2 linked regions of the Mytilus edulis genome follow. The protein of the gene in region 2 interacts with the protein of the main gene of each other region in a pairwise test. Links are inferred from orthologs where the notes say so. Each region holds a gene or a part of one and is shown on either strand. Other genes may lie near its edges.

Region 1 (7,200 bases), on a different chromosome or scaffold from region 2:
ATATACCTTTATAGTGTTAGCGGTCTTAGGTTCATGTATTGCTTTTCTTTTTTTTAAAGAAAGCAACTTGTTTTAAATTTAGCAATTTCTTTAAAACTACACTAAAAAAAATGTCGTTTCTGATGTTGTTGTGCCTACCAAAAATATATCCCAGATATCTCGCAGATCTTTATCTGTAGGATTTTTCATGTCTAAAGTGGCTCATAAATTTTTTTGATACATGTAATTGATGAACTTCTTTTATTTATAGAAAAAAGTGTAATCGCGATTTTTACTTGTTTTCAAATCAAGCTTTCATAGTGTTTATTCCAGTGGACCATTTTACTATTGTATCAGTGGCGGATTCAGAACTTTTTATAAAGGGGCGCTTATACTGACCTAAGGGGTAGGGGGATCCAGTCATGCGTTAGTGATTCCCTAATATATAATCAACCAATTTTTTTCAACGAAAGGGGGCCCAGGCCCCCTGGATCCACCTATGTTTATCATGCTGGTTTCAAATATGTGCTTAAACAAGTTCAACCACTGAGAGATTGTGTACATGTCTCTTTTTTTTTTATATCCGGTAAAAATCTATGTATATTTATTTTAAAAATAAATGCCGAGTCAAAATAGAGTTTTCTTAGCATCTTATCTGATCTGATCTTATCTTTTCTATACTGAATACAAAAAAAAAAGTGTTTACCTGCACATACAATCAGAGATCAGTTATCTGCATTAGCATATGTTTATCATCTGGGACTATTATGCTCTATTATGTCAATACTATTATGTTCCAGATATCCTGTCTCGATCGGGTTCATAAATAATAAAAGAATAAGCTTTATTTGGAGTCGGCATAGTATACAAGCAAGGATATCTAACATTCATAACAATACAACATATAAACATGCAATAAATCAAACAGCACAAAATGTAGCACGTAAAGCATGCATGGTGGTAATTAGCAGAAAATAAGCAAGATAAGACCGCGGGTGGGGGTATACTGGCTACCCATTTCGGTTATGACTGTGCTGACAGCACTTGCCAAATCATACCCTGTTCTAAGGGAGCTACTATTTGATTTTTATGGGGGGGCTAGGATAAAAAATTGTGTCCTGCCTTTTTTTTTTTAGTTGTAATCTCTGTCCTGCCTTTTTATTTTTCAGTCTATTCGGTCCTGTCTTTTTTTCTTAGCTTATCCTGACTTTTTTACAACAATTGTCATCCTGCCTTTTTTGTTTGCCAAGTTACTCATCCTGCCCTTTTTTTTTTTAACTCAAAATCCTGTCCTGCCTTTTTTTCAAATATCATCCTAGAATTTTAAGCTTTTAAGACAAGTCATTGAGTTTTAAAGTCAGTCTAAGTATAATGAGAAATCGTCGTCTACATATACTGTAGAAGCGGATATTTTCGTGGAGGATTTAATTTCGTTTATTTCGTGGAAAGAATATATCTATAATACTAAAATTACGAGGTCCAATTTGTCAGCCGTCATCGGGTAAAAACGACAAATCAAAGAATTCAACTCTATATATAACTAATATAGGACAATGGTGTAGATTAAAAATTACACCACTCCAGACCCTTTTGTTTTCCACATAATTAATATTGCCAATAATTAACAAGTTCCGGGTCGAATCCGATACCAATACCAATAGTATATTCACCTGTTAGCTATTACCTTATCTGTACGTTCCGCATTTGACAGGCGCACCACCAAACGGTGTATTTAGGATTTTGCTATATACACGGGTCATAATCAAAGGGACACTACTAAATTCAATCATTGTCAAATTGTTCCCTATTATAGTTTTATTCAGCAATCAGCAAGACTTTCTAAGATAACTAATATAGGACAATGCTGTTGATTAAACAATACTCCATTCCTGAGGCCCCTCATGGGGGGTCCTAGTAATCACATAATCACCATTTTTTTGCCAATATAATCACATAATCATTAAATATTTGCTTATCTTTAGTAATCAAATAATCATAAACTAAAAATACAGTCCTAGGTAATCAAATAATCATGAAATATTTGGCTTAATAATCAAATAATCATTAAAAAAACGGCCAAGTAATCACATAATCAAAAACCCCATGAGGGCCCTCATTCCTGGATAGCCAGGACCTTTGTTTTCCAAATAATTAATATTACCAATAATTGATAAGTTCCAGATCGACGGGTTCAAACAGAAAGATTTGAAAGCAGAGAAAACTTTGTATTTATAACCGACATGCCTTTATCAGATGACAATACTAATTACTTAAATAAGGCTTAGGCATAGTTATATACTTTAATTCAGTCACGGACCCGCGATATCACGGGTGTGTACTTGTCATATATATATATATATATATTCTTCATTCTCCATTTATATATATATATGGAGTCCATGAAAATTTAACAATTATATATATATATTCCATTTATTGGAATCCACGAAATTAAATCCCAATGAAATCTTATTAACACACAAAAACGCGAAATTTTAACCCCACGGAAATTAGTGTTTCTACAGTATATATGAGACAATATCTGAAAAAGTCTAATTTCCATGTCTCCCACTTCACCAGCAATTATTTTTTTATTCGACCATCTTTTTTGAAAATTTTAAGTTTCAGTATAAACTAAATTATATAATGCACCATGGCCTGCCAATTAAACACTCATTCTTATATTTCTTCCAATAAAATATTGTAATTTAAATGTTCAACCCCCCCTAAAATCATGTTGTCCCCTGTGTTTTTTTGAAAACTAAATCATTCAAATAATATCCAAATTAATTAAACAGGCGTCCGATTCTCACATATATGATATATTATATAATAAACTTGCCCCTAATTTGTCTTTTTATGTTATAACTATAGCATGTAATAAAATTTTGCAAATTTTAACAGAAAAAAAAATTTGTCCCCAAGGGTGATTTCCCTCCTGTTACCACTGTGTTTTTTTTACCTGTGGAAACGTTTACAAGACCAAGAGTTATTTTCCCATTATGAATTGTGAAGAGCATCATTTCCTGAATGCATTAGTACAAAGAAATAGTTGGAAAGGCGGCCAGGTTTGAAAATTCAAGCCCATATCCAAGGTAAGAATTTATAGAAAAATACTTATTGGTGTTCTATCCTGTTACAGCCTTTTCTTACACTTTCTGAGAATATTTTTAAGTGTGCACCACAGCATTAAGTGTGTTTTTATATCATCTTTTTAAAAGTTATATGTCACAGGAAATACACTTACATTTAATGTGATAAAAAGGACAAAAACTATCGCGTAATTCCTTTCTGTTACGTTCTGTCATGTTACCTGATAAAAAGTAACAGCATAACCATCATCAGTAACAGGAAGGATGTTCAAGACAATTTTACTGAAGAATCGAAAAGTTAATCTACTATATGCCAACCATTTCATTTAATATAAGTTATCACCACCATATTAAATAAATTTCAAAATAATATACAGTATATTGAATTAAAAATTAGGTTTTTTGCTTTTGATAACAGCAGAGAACATTGTGCAATTCTAGTATAGTAGATAGTAACAGAAAGGAATTTATTTTAGAATTTTTCATTACCTAGGCAGATTTTTCATCTTGCAAATACAGTTTCAAAGGATAAATGACATCGTTTGCTGTTATCTTCCAATTGTAACCAATTTAAAATGATGTATTTTTCTTAAACATTAAAGTAAAGCAGAAAAATCCTTTCTGTTACCAACTCTGTCCTGTTACCGTTGTGCTGTTACTCAAGATTCTTTCATGTTACCGACATATCTGACTATATTTACGTATATTTCTAAACCTTTTGTATTGCAAATGCATAATCAATAATTGGCATTTGATAAACTGTTGCAGGATATACTAGTAAACCACAAATAGTGTCTTAAACTTATTCCTTATTCCCATTAGAAACTTTTTTAAATTGATTCACTTTGGTAACAGGAAAGAACTGGATTTGTTTGTATCATTTTTAAAATAGCCATTGTTTCCTTATTAAACAATTGTTTGAATTACAGACAACAGTTCCTAGATCCCCAATGTGTGTTCTTCGATTTGTGCTATTAAAATACTGGGTCTAAAAAAAAAAAGTTGTTTTTTCTTATTTCCAAAAATTAGACTTTTTCAGATATTGTCTCATATATAAATTTATATTATAATATAGTTAACTTTAAACTTCAATTCATAATTTCCCGCTAAAACTACTTATAAAAACCACGATATGTACAACGGAAATGATGACGTAGAACGCATATAAATGGAGAATGAAGAATAATTATCTCGTAGAAGAAAATAGAATGTAATGTTCTGTGTTTACTATGATATATTTAATTGATATTTAGAAAATCTTATGTCATAGTTAAAAATGTCATAATGTACTGTGTTGATGGTCATAATGAAAATCCAGTCGCAATAAAACGCACAAATCGCCCATTTCTGTTTACGGTTTTACAACAAAATTTTTCACAAACCAGACATCTTTTTTTAACGATTCTACTTTCACGAAAACAATGCCTTTTCAAATAAGAAAATAAACATCTGCAATATTCTCAATGCACCACCATACTCCAAATGAGATGGCATACATTTGGTCTATTTACAACATAAATTATATCATGCAGTCACAGCCACAGGCATCATAGTTTATACACCTTAAATTCTAACATGACGTTAATCTAACCCTGTGAGTACACACTGCTGATAATATTAATATAATAGAAATATATTGTTTGGGCTGTTTGGATCATACTCGCACGTCATAAGCTTTTTTATGAATGAGATACCCGACATACCTGCCAACTTTCACGATTTAGGCGTTTACTACACGATTTTGACCCTCTGTCCCGATTACACGATCGTGATCTTGAAAATAGCCAAAAAACACGATTTTAGTAAAATTTACACGAAAAATATTTTTGTTCCCGATTTTGAACTTTTAAAAGTTTTCCCAAGGGAGACAAATCGTGTCTGACAAATTTCATCCAATCAAAATTTAGTGATCACGCATTCACCAGTTGATTAATGTCGGCATAGTAAACAATCAAAGAATTGAAATTTTGAGTTGTTTTTTTTTTTTTAGCTTGGGTGTCAAATTTATAAAAATTGGAATCATGATGGGCGAGTTATCACTTGCAAAATAGTTCTGTCACGGCCTAAGAAAAAAAAGCGTGTTGCTTCGTGCAAATACTTAGAGAAATGGGAGAATGATGTCAAGTACAGGGGCTGGTTGTCTAAATCAACGTTAGGATTGTCACATGCCTTTTGTAAAGTTTGCAATAGAGACTTTAAAGTTGACCACGGTGGCCTTAATGATGTCTCCAAACATTCTAGTACTGCTTGTGATATTGATCTATATAATATATGAGGGTTTGGATGGGGTTAAATGATTAAAGAATATAATGCCCTTAAAAAATGAAGATAAGGGAATAACGGGCAAAAAAAAATTGGAGAAATGCGTGGTCAAATTTTTTGAAGATTAGAAAAAAAAGAGGTTAATTTTTTGAAGATTAGAGAAAAAAGGGGTGAAAATTAAATGTTTACAGAACAACAGTCCCCCCCCCCCCCCCCCCCCATTTCCAGACCCTCATATATTGTTGTTTTTTTTGTTATTAAATTATTAAAATATTACTTTTTTTTTATTTCTTGACAATGTATCAGACAAACATAAAGTCATCTTACTGGTGTTTATCTCAACAAAAAGAATACAACAATCAAACAATTTAAAAAAAGATAGGTTATAATAGCATCTTCAACTATCACCCCCCAAAAAAGAAGTATGTCAGACACTTTTAGGAGCCAAATCAACACACGAAAAAATGCCGCGAAAAATTCTACCCTCAAAAATGGTGCCGCGCACAAAAACCCCCATGGCCATTTTCAAAAGTTGGCAGGTATGACCCGACGTCATGAAAAGATGACGTAATTATACACACTTTTACGTCAAATTAATAGTGCGTTTATTTACAGGACCAGCAAATATTTCCCTTCACCTAATGCGCATCGATAACAAAAAATGTTGTATTTGCCCTATTTATAGAATAGAAATAATTCATGGGGGCTTGAATTTATACTGATTTTACCACATGTTTTCCCTTTATGCTGATGTTTTACCCCTTGCTGTCCCACTTGGTAAAATATTTAGCATAAAGGGCAAACCCATTGTAAAATCAGTCTAAATTCAAGCCCCATGAACTATTTCCTAATCATATTTTGCTAATCGCTATTTTGTGCATTTCTAGGTACCTCTAAAGTTTCCATAAAATTTTGATGTCATACTTGTCATAATAGAAAATATCTGACGACACAATAGAAAAGTGATAAGGCCAGACTTTTTTTAATATCTGTTTAACGAGATCCGCTGACTCCACCTTTCCCGATTTTAGAATAAAAACAAAAGTAGTGCTTCTTACTTTTATTATTATTTTTCCCGCCGACTGTTACGAAATGCTCAGAAAAAAATAAAATGTGTTGTTCACGATACTCGCTTTCAGTCAATTTCGTTATCGGTAATATTTAATTTTTACCAAGTCAATGAAAGAGCAATTTGCATTTAAAAGTAAAGAAATTCAAGGCATACACGATATATTTTCTTCTAAAAGATTTTTAAGCTGGGGGCATGCTTTTCATACTTGTTACACGAGAGCGTACATCAAATCATTCTAACTTTCGGCAAAATCAGTTATTACTTCATCAGAACTTGATGAAATTAGCCTCAAGTAAACTTGTCATCCATGTATTGCATTAGAAACGTCATATTCCTTTCCAAATAGCGTATCAAACATCGTTTATTTTTGTAAATTTTTCTTCGTCCGACATTTAAATTTGTAGAACTACGGATCGAAATCAGGATTTCATCAGAAACGGACCCGCTATGACCGAAATCCGGATTCTTGCGATAATGACTACAGACGCATGAATGGCACTGCTGACAGACAAAAATTGATCCCAAAAGGGAAAATTACGCATTCCACACGCATTAACATACTTTTGGTTAGATCTTCTTGATTAATGTATATATTTCCATGTATAAGCATTGTTTCAATTTATAGGTTAAAGTTACTTAACTCTGGGACTATTACACCAGAGACATATATACACATGTGTATATGTATGTCTCTGCATACACTAAGAGGTTCCTGACTGGGTGACTGGTATATACATATATAGTGTATATGCAGCGAGGTTGATATATTTGAGTGGTGCCATGGATCTATATTAG
Region 2 (7,619 bases):
AGGTAATAAATTAGCAAAAACATACTTGCACACTTGATAAAGGAGCCCAAAAACCAAAAACCAAAATCTAATACATAGATGGATTCAGCTTTTCAAAGAACCTCATAAAATCATAAAATCATTTTAAAATCGCGATGACATTATCGAATGCAAAATAGCATTCCTTATTGCTTGTTATAAATTCAATTCTTCAATGAATTCTCATAAAAATATTTCTTTTAGACTGTGACATAAATTAATAATATGAAAATGTTCTGTCGTTCGAAATATATATATCAGTAGAAATTCATTAATATCTATGCACACGTACAGAAAAATTTGTTAACCATGCGGAATAATATCTCAAGAACGTTTTGGGGGAAATATGAATGCCTACTCAAATCCCGCGATCTATTTAAAATAAAGAATTATTACAGAAGAGTGGCACCATTCACTTGCACTGCACAATCATTAGAATAGTAGAAAAGAATGATATACAAATGGATGAAAATTATATATTCATGTTTTACTGTTATACTAGTATACAAATATTAATATAATATATAACAACAAACCAGAGTATACTTATTTGTATCGCTACAACTTTAATAGTTATAACGGTGAGATTGAATTCTCTGTCATTTATTCATCATCAATGCACGCACGAACTTGTCTCAGATTTTTAAAAAAATTTATTATACCTCACTTTCAGGTATACAGATGTGATTTTTTTTTTAGACAAGTGTGACCATCAACAAGAACTTGCAGTCATCCGATGTTCAGTATTTCAGTACTTTCATTAATCTTTCTTCTAATGACTCTGTTAGAGCAGTTTGCGTAAGGAGCTCACTCCTTCATGCGCGAGCATAACGTACCATACGACGGAGCAGAGGACTAAACAATATATAGAGAATATATGTTATTTTTGCCCGAGTGATTTAGATCTTTTATTTAATTCATGATATATTTTTTTTTCACTGACCCCATCACTCATAATATTTGATTTAAGTGGATTTTTTTTTTATCTTACATTGATCTTTTGATGTCATCCTTTAATCAACTCATTGCCGTTTCATCTGAAACTGTGAACATATATTTGTTCCGCATAATACTTGTTCCCCCTGGAACAAAACTATGGATAACAAAAGTTACATAATATTAATTCCACCTTCATAAGATATTTTCCTGGAACTAAAATATCATATGGTTTCATAATATTTGTTCCTCTAAAAAAGAGTGTCATTTGATTTTTATGCCCCACCTACGATAGTAGAGGGGCATTATGTTTTTTGGTCTGTGCGTCCGTTCGTCCGTCCGTCCGTCCGTCTGTTCGTCCGTCTTTCCCGCTTCAGGTTAAAGTTTTTGGTCAAGGTAGTTTTTGATGAAGTTGAAGTCCAATCGACTTCAAACTTAGTACACATGTTCCCTATGATATGACCTTTTTAATTTTAATGCCAAATTAGAGTTTTTACTCCAATTTCACTGAACATGGAAAATGATAGTGCGAGTGGGGCATTCGTGTACTGAGGACACATTCTTGTTTACACCTGATTAGATCTGAATTAACCGGCTTGGAATCTGAACTTAATTGATCTATGTTTATATTAGTTGTACTTGCATCATTCCTTTTAATAATATCTATAGATATTGTAATAATAGTTAAATTTAAAATTTATTTCTTGTCCTGCACATGTATAATGGGGGGGGGGGGGGGGGGGGGGGGGGGGGAGGGGTCCCGATCCCGAAATCCTGGGTTTAAAACACAAAATCCCGAGGACCCTAATTCAAATAATTCAAGTTAATCCCGACATCCCGAAATTCGAAAAAAAAATAATCCCGGATTCCGAAAGGGTCAATCCCGAAATTCCGAGCTTAAAAATACCCGATCCCGTAGTCCCGATAAAAGTCATATCCCGGTCCCCTCTCTAAGAGTAAATCATTGATATTTGACAGATATTAAATACAAATATTTTATTAGCACAAACTCATCAACAATAAATGGTTAAGGCTCATGGTATATCAATTACATAGTTGGTCAAACATAATAAGTATTACAAATAATGAGTATATTAATATGTAATATTATAAACAATGATTATGAATTAGACATTTTGACAATTTTATGGAGTTTGTTCTGCTTTACGCAGGTTCAAACTGTCTGAAATGAAAGAGGACGTCAATTTTAGGATTGTGTATGAATTATTATTTAATAAAAAGATTATATTATTTTCATGTTTTTTTAATTTTGTAGAATCAACGATTATATTTGAAACTTTTGATAAAATATGGCCCTTTTAGTTGAGTATTTTTCACAATGTAAAAGAAAATGGTTTTCATTTTCAATTTGACCAGAGTTACATACAGAGCAGTATCTCTCATTTCTGGGAATATTTAAATGTCTCCCTCTTTCAATCATCAGCATATGAGCGCTTATACGGATCTTACATATTGCAGCTCTGTCACTTCTGATTTTCAATATATCAACATAGGGTGGTCTTCTGTCCATTATGTAGACACTCTTGAAAAAGTCTAACTTTTTTTATTCAAATATATTTGCATTTTGAACTTGCAAACATTGGTCATTAATTCTTTGTTTAATAGAAGTTAAATTACCTTTAACATAATTAAAGTTATTGGTGATATAAGACATTCCAAGTCCATTCAAAAGACTCTTGACCTTTATGACCCAAGGGTTTGAATCTACAGATTTAGTGAATATATCATATGCCAAAGAATTTTCCGAAGAAATTATATGGTTCAGGTAGTTGAATATTGAATATAATATTTTATTATTCAAGGGAATTCTATTAAGTTCGGCTCGACATCCATCATTAGATGCCTTACAGTGAACCCCTAATATGTCTTTGATAAATTTAACATGAAGTTTTTCAAAGGGATCAGAGTCTTTAAAATGTGAATCCATCCCCCAAATTTCACTACAATATGTAAGAATGGGAGTAACTAAACAATCAAACAATTTTTCAAGAAGTCTACATGGGTTGTTGAGACCTATAGTTTTCTTTATCTTATAATATGCCTTCCTGGCTTTTTCCATGAGAGTATTCACAGCAAGGCAAAAATTGCCATTATACTTTAAAACAATAACCAAGTAACAATAATTTGTTACCGTTTCAAGATATGCATTATCATAAGTAAAATGGTTTAACAATGTTTTGCCATTAGAATTAAATATCATAATTTTTTATTTATCAGTATTAACTTGTAGTTTCCATGACGAACAATATTCATGTAAAATATCAAGAGATTTTTGTAGACCCTCTTCGCTTTCAGATAGTAAAACAATATCATCTGCATATAAAAGAATGTTCAAAGAGGTATCTCCAATGGCAACTGGATCCGTATGTTTGTTATCAAGATTACCTACTAGTTCATTTATAAAATAGTTAAAAAGAAGGGGACTCAATACGTCACCTTGTTTAACATCCCTTTCTGGTAGGAATGGAGGACTGAAACCATTAGGGAATTTTATTCTACATACTGTATCAGTATACATTGAATAAATAACATTAAACATTTTTTGGGGGATATTATGTTTTATGAGTTTAGAAAATAAACCTAGTCCATAGGCGGATCCAGGGGGCCCGGGCCCCCCCTTTCGTGGGAAAAATTTGGTTGATTATATAGGGAATCATTGAAGCATGACTGGAGCGGGCCCCCTCTTAGGTCAGTCAGCGGCCCCCCCCCCCCCTTTAGGAAAAGTTCTGGATCCGCCACTGTTAAGTCGCCATACAGTATCAAATGCCCTTTTTAAGTCTATGAAGGCAGCAACAAAAAATTTCCAAGTTTTTTTGTCTATATTGATCAGTTATGGTCTTAAGAGTGAATATGTGGTCAGCTGTACGACTTTTCTCTTTAAAACCTATTTGATTTTTACTTATTAAATTTTTGATATCCATAAATGTTACTAAACGTTTACATGGTTTATATAAAACTTTATTAAAAAGTTTACCCAGGTTGGAACTAATAGATATACCTCTATAGTTCCCTGATCAAATTTGTCCCCTTTCTTATGCAAGAGAACAAGACTAGTAAGCTTTCATTCCATAATCTCGGAAGTTGACCAGATTCGAATATGCTATTAAAGAGTTTATGAAGTGGTTTTATTTAAAAAAATAGGGATTGCATTTTTCAACATTTCATTGGAAATCATGTCGGCTGATATGCTTTTGCCATTTTTTTTCAAACGAATAGCTGTTACTATCTCTTCAATTGTTATCTCTGAACTCAAGTGAGTTAAGTCATCCGTAACATGTGATAAATTAAACTGTTCTTTTAGAGAGTCAAAATCTTTAATAATTTTAGAGTGAAAACTATTGTGATTTATGTCACAGCTATTCAATTTTGTTATAAAACTGGATGAAATCTTCTTGTGGTACAGATTCATTTTCTTTGTTATTACTTTTTTGTCTACTTAATTTATTCAAAATGTTCCAAAACATCTTTTCAAGAGACATACAAAATATGTCTCTGATATTTGTCACGGTACCAAAAAGTGAAATAACAAAAATAACCTAACTGCAGAAATTTAAAAAAACCAGACAGTTCTTTGATCCTTATAACAAAACCAGAAGAGTTACTATCATATATCCTGATTCAGGACTATGTAAACCGTTTTTTAAATCTGATTTTGTTTTTTATGTGCCCATTCCGATCCTTATTAGCAGAGAAACAAAGAAATGCATTCTCATTGAAGGTTAAAGGTAAGACTTCGGTGGTCGTTTTTGAGTTATTAGAAGTGGACTACTCTTATTTAAAAGAAATTTTACGTTTAAAATGACAAAAACATTGTATGTTCTTTGAAGAAATTGAAATTTTGACCACAGTAATTCCGATTTGGGGGATACAATTTGGCACACAGGGTGTCCCCGTTATGTGCGCAAATTTTGACAAAATTAGGACTCACTGCGCACACTGCATGTGCAATTCTTCGTAGTTTTTACGGACGTCAAATCCAATATTTTATCATTTTAAGATTCATATATTTAGTATTCTAATGTATTTGTAAATATTTTATTCACATATCACCAAAAATTCACCATTCGTGAGGTAAGTTTACATCAAAAAATTGATATTTTACAGTGAAATTATGAACCGGTATTTTTCCTCGTGTGTTCAGACATGGCTTCCGTGATTATTTTCACTTTCTGATATACATTTTGTAAGCGTTTGAATGTTTAACCTTTTTGTGAAAATTATCCTTGATCCTTTGACATAACTTATGAAACACTTTATTGTCAGATTTGGAGAAATTCTTGTACAGAATTTTGAGGTTTATTGCCATGAAACAAATTATTTTGTAGTGTTGCCATGAAACTATTTTAGTAAAGGTATATCATTATATCTAAAGAATATTTTCATACTGACTGAAATTGATTAATAAAGTCTTCTCTTGTTTTGTTAAAAGTTAATCTTGAAATTAATTTTCAGATTTAGTAACTTTTATTTTGTTGGATAGTTTACTTTCACATAATTTGGTGCATTTTCTAGAACATTCTGATGTCAATAACAGAAAATATAAGGAAAAAAAGCGTTTGTTCCGGGATAAGTTAGTAACCGAAATGTAGGGATTGTCACTTCCAACATATATCGAGGGATGAGGCAAATAAATGTTGATCTTATAGTTATAATTTATACTGCACAAAATATTTTCGAAATTTAACAAGTTGGTCACCTTCCCAAAGTTGTACGGAAATGAAAATCCTGTACTTACAGAACATCAATTATTAACAGACTACCCTGCAGAATGGCGATTCCGAAAGTGCTTGAACTTTTAATTAGGCAGGGATACAATTGTGCCTTCTAAGTTCTATCTGGCAAATGACATCATAAAGGCTTAAGAAATTGATGATCTTTTCTGGTAGAAAGACATTCGAGGAAGTGGCATATTGTTCAGTGATGTCTTGTAAACTAATGATGAATTCACTGGGTTCAACAGGCATAACCAATTATGATTTTTTTAATTTAAATATGGTTTAATCATGTGCTTCTTATTCTGCCTTCATGTTCGCAACTTTTAAAAAAGTGTCTGTTTTTATTTAATATATTCCTCTGTTTGTGCTTAATTTCCTACAACAGGTTATTATTCTTTGTATAATCACCAAACATGGGGTTTGTTCCCATCTTTAAACAGACATGACTCGTATTATAAAATAATTGAAATGGTCTGTTCTTGTGCTGTATAAATGAAATTTTTTATTTAAATTTATATCAATTTTATTTCTTATACATGTAGCATAGATTTTTTTTTCTATGATTGCTCTGATAAGTTTTGTGTGCCAGCATTTAATTTTTCTCCATAAATATTTTGAGTGAAAACTGATAGAACAAACAGTATTGTCACCATGATGGGAGAGTAGTGGACAGAACAGGATTACATTATTGTATTTAGAGATTACAAGGATGAATGAACAAATGTAGGGGTATTCATTAACAAAACATATCATCATGCCAACAACAAAAATAACCAAAAAGACTTCACCAGTTGTCCTGGTATTAAAACCTCCTTGACTCCTAAGTGAGCCCATGATTCACCTGTTCACAGTTCAAGTTCATAGAAAGAACACAAATATTTGACACATTAAAGTTATAGAAGTACAGCAACATTTAAAATTTATTCTTTGATAACATTTTCTAAATATTATTGTACATGTAGTAATTTTAAGCTGCAGTAGGTAAATTGTGTAAGGTTATGTCAGATAATTAAAATGAAAAAGACCTGAAATAATGAAAAAATTCTCTTAATTTTATAAATTGTATTTTTCAGATTACTTAATAATACAAAGTCATGGTTATGGAAACCCCAAGTCCACAGTGCGTTGGCCGTGAATTCGTTAGGCAATACTATACCTTGCTAAACGAGGCCCCACTGCATCTTCACAGGTAAATATCCAAGTGCAGATCTAACAATTCGGCTTTTGTAGACCACAATGTCCTTAATAAAAAAAAACAACATCAATTCCAATGAAAATGCATATGACCTGTCACCAAGAAAAGAGGATTACAGACAAATTTCCGTTGGTGAACAAATTTCTACCATGCCATACGAAAGATTGTTTTGATCCATTTGTAAAAAAAATGGCATGTAATTTTTTCAGGTTCTACATCATTTCAGATGTCAATTCTCAAAAGAAATAACCAGTCTTTGAAAACTTAGTTGTGTCTGACAAATCACTTGATTTTTATTAATATGCAAACAAAGCAGACATTCTGAGCATGTTAATACACTGCAGTTGTCAAGGTTGGATCATTATCAGTTGACTTAGGCTGATCAAAAGGAATTTACAAGTATGGTCATGATCACCAAATTTCTTCAAAGAGATCAGACAAACAGTACACCTGGAAAGGTTCAAGGCATGGCTTGACCCAGATTTATAACTGGTATTAGTGTTTCCTGCAGCTTTTAAAAAGGGCAGGGTAATTGTTAGCTCAGAGGGCACATTAAGCGCGATAGACAATAACTTTAGGGCACTTACTTAACATAAACAGGCAATTTCTATAAAATGGATTCATTTAAAAAATACTAGTTTAATGACCTCTTAATAGTTATTGTTCAAAATATATACATGTAACAGACTTCTTTCTGGGTCTATCATATTCTTGATGTGGGACCACATTGAAAA

Evidence for each region. The genes of interacting proteins can lie anywhere in the genome.
Region 1: the proteins of ras GTPase-activating protein-binding protein 2-like (region 2) and E3 ubiquitin-protein ligase SIAH1-like interact in a two-hybrid assay, tested with the Drosophila melanogaster proteins (2 studies listed by BioGRID). The link is inferred for Mytilus edulis from reciprocal best matches to the Drosophila melanogaster genes rin and sina.

What each region holds. Positions count from the first base shown.
Region 1 is NC_092350.1:59,087,729-59,094,928, reverse strand, and holds the start of E3 ubiquitin-protein ligase SIAH1-like, read left to right. Parts: upstream 1-4,200; 5' UTR 4,201-4,281; intron 4,282-7,200. UniProt on the Drosophila melanogaster protein: E3 ubiquitin-protein ligase that is required for specification of R7 photoreceptor cell fate in the eye by mediating the ubiquitination and subsequent proteasomal degradation of Tramtrack (ttk).
Region 2 is NC_092352.1:25,710,531-25,718,149, reverse strand, and holds the start of ras GTPase-activating protein-binding protein 2-like, read left to right. Parts: upstream 1-4,589; 5' UTR 4,590-4,700; intron 4,701-4,702; exon of another isoform or gene 4,703-5,046; intron 5,047-5,093; exon of another isoform or gene 5,094-5,158; intron 5,159-6,763; 5' UTR 6,764-6,784; coding exon 6,785-6,879; exon of another isoform or gene 6,880-7,377; intron 7,378-7,619.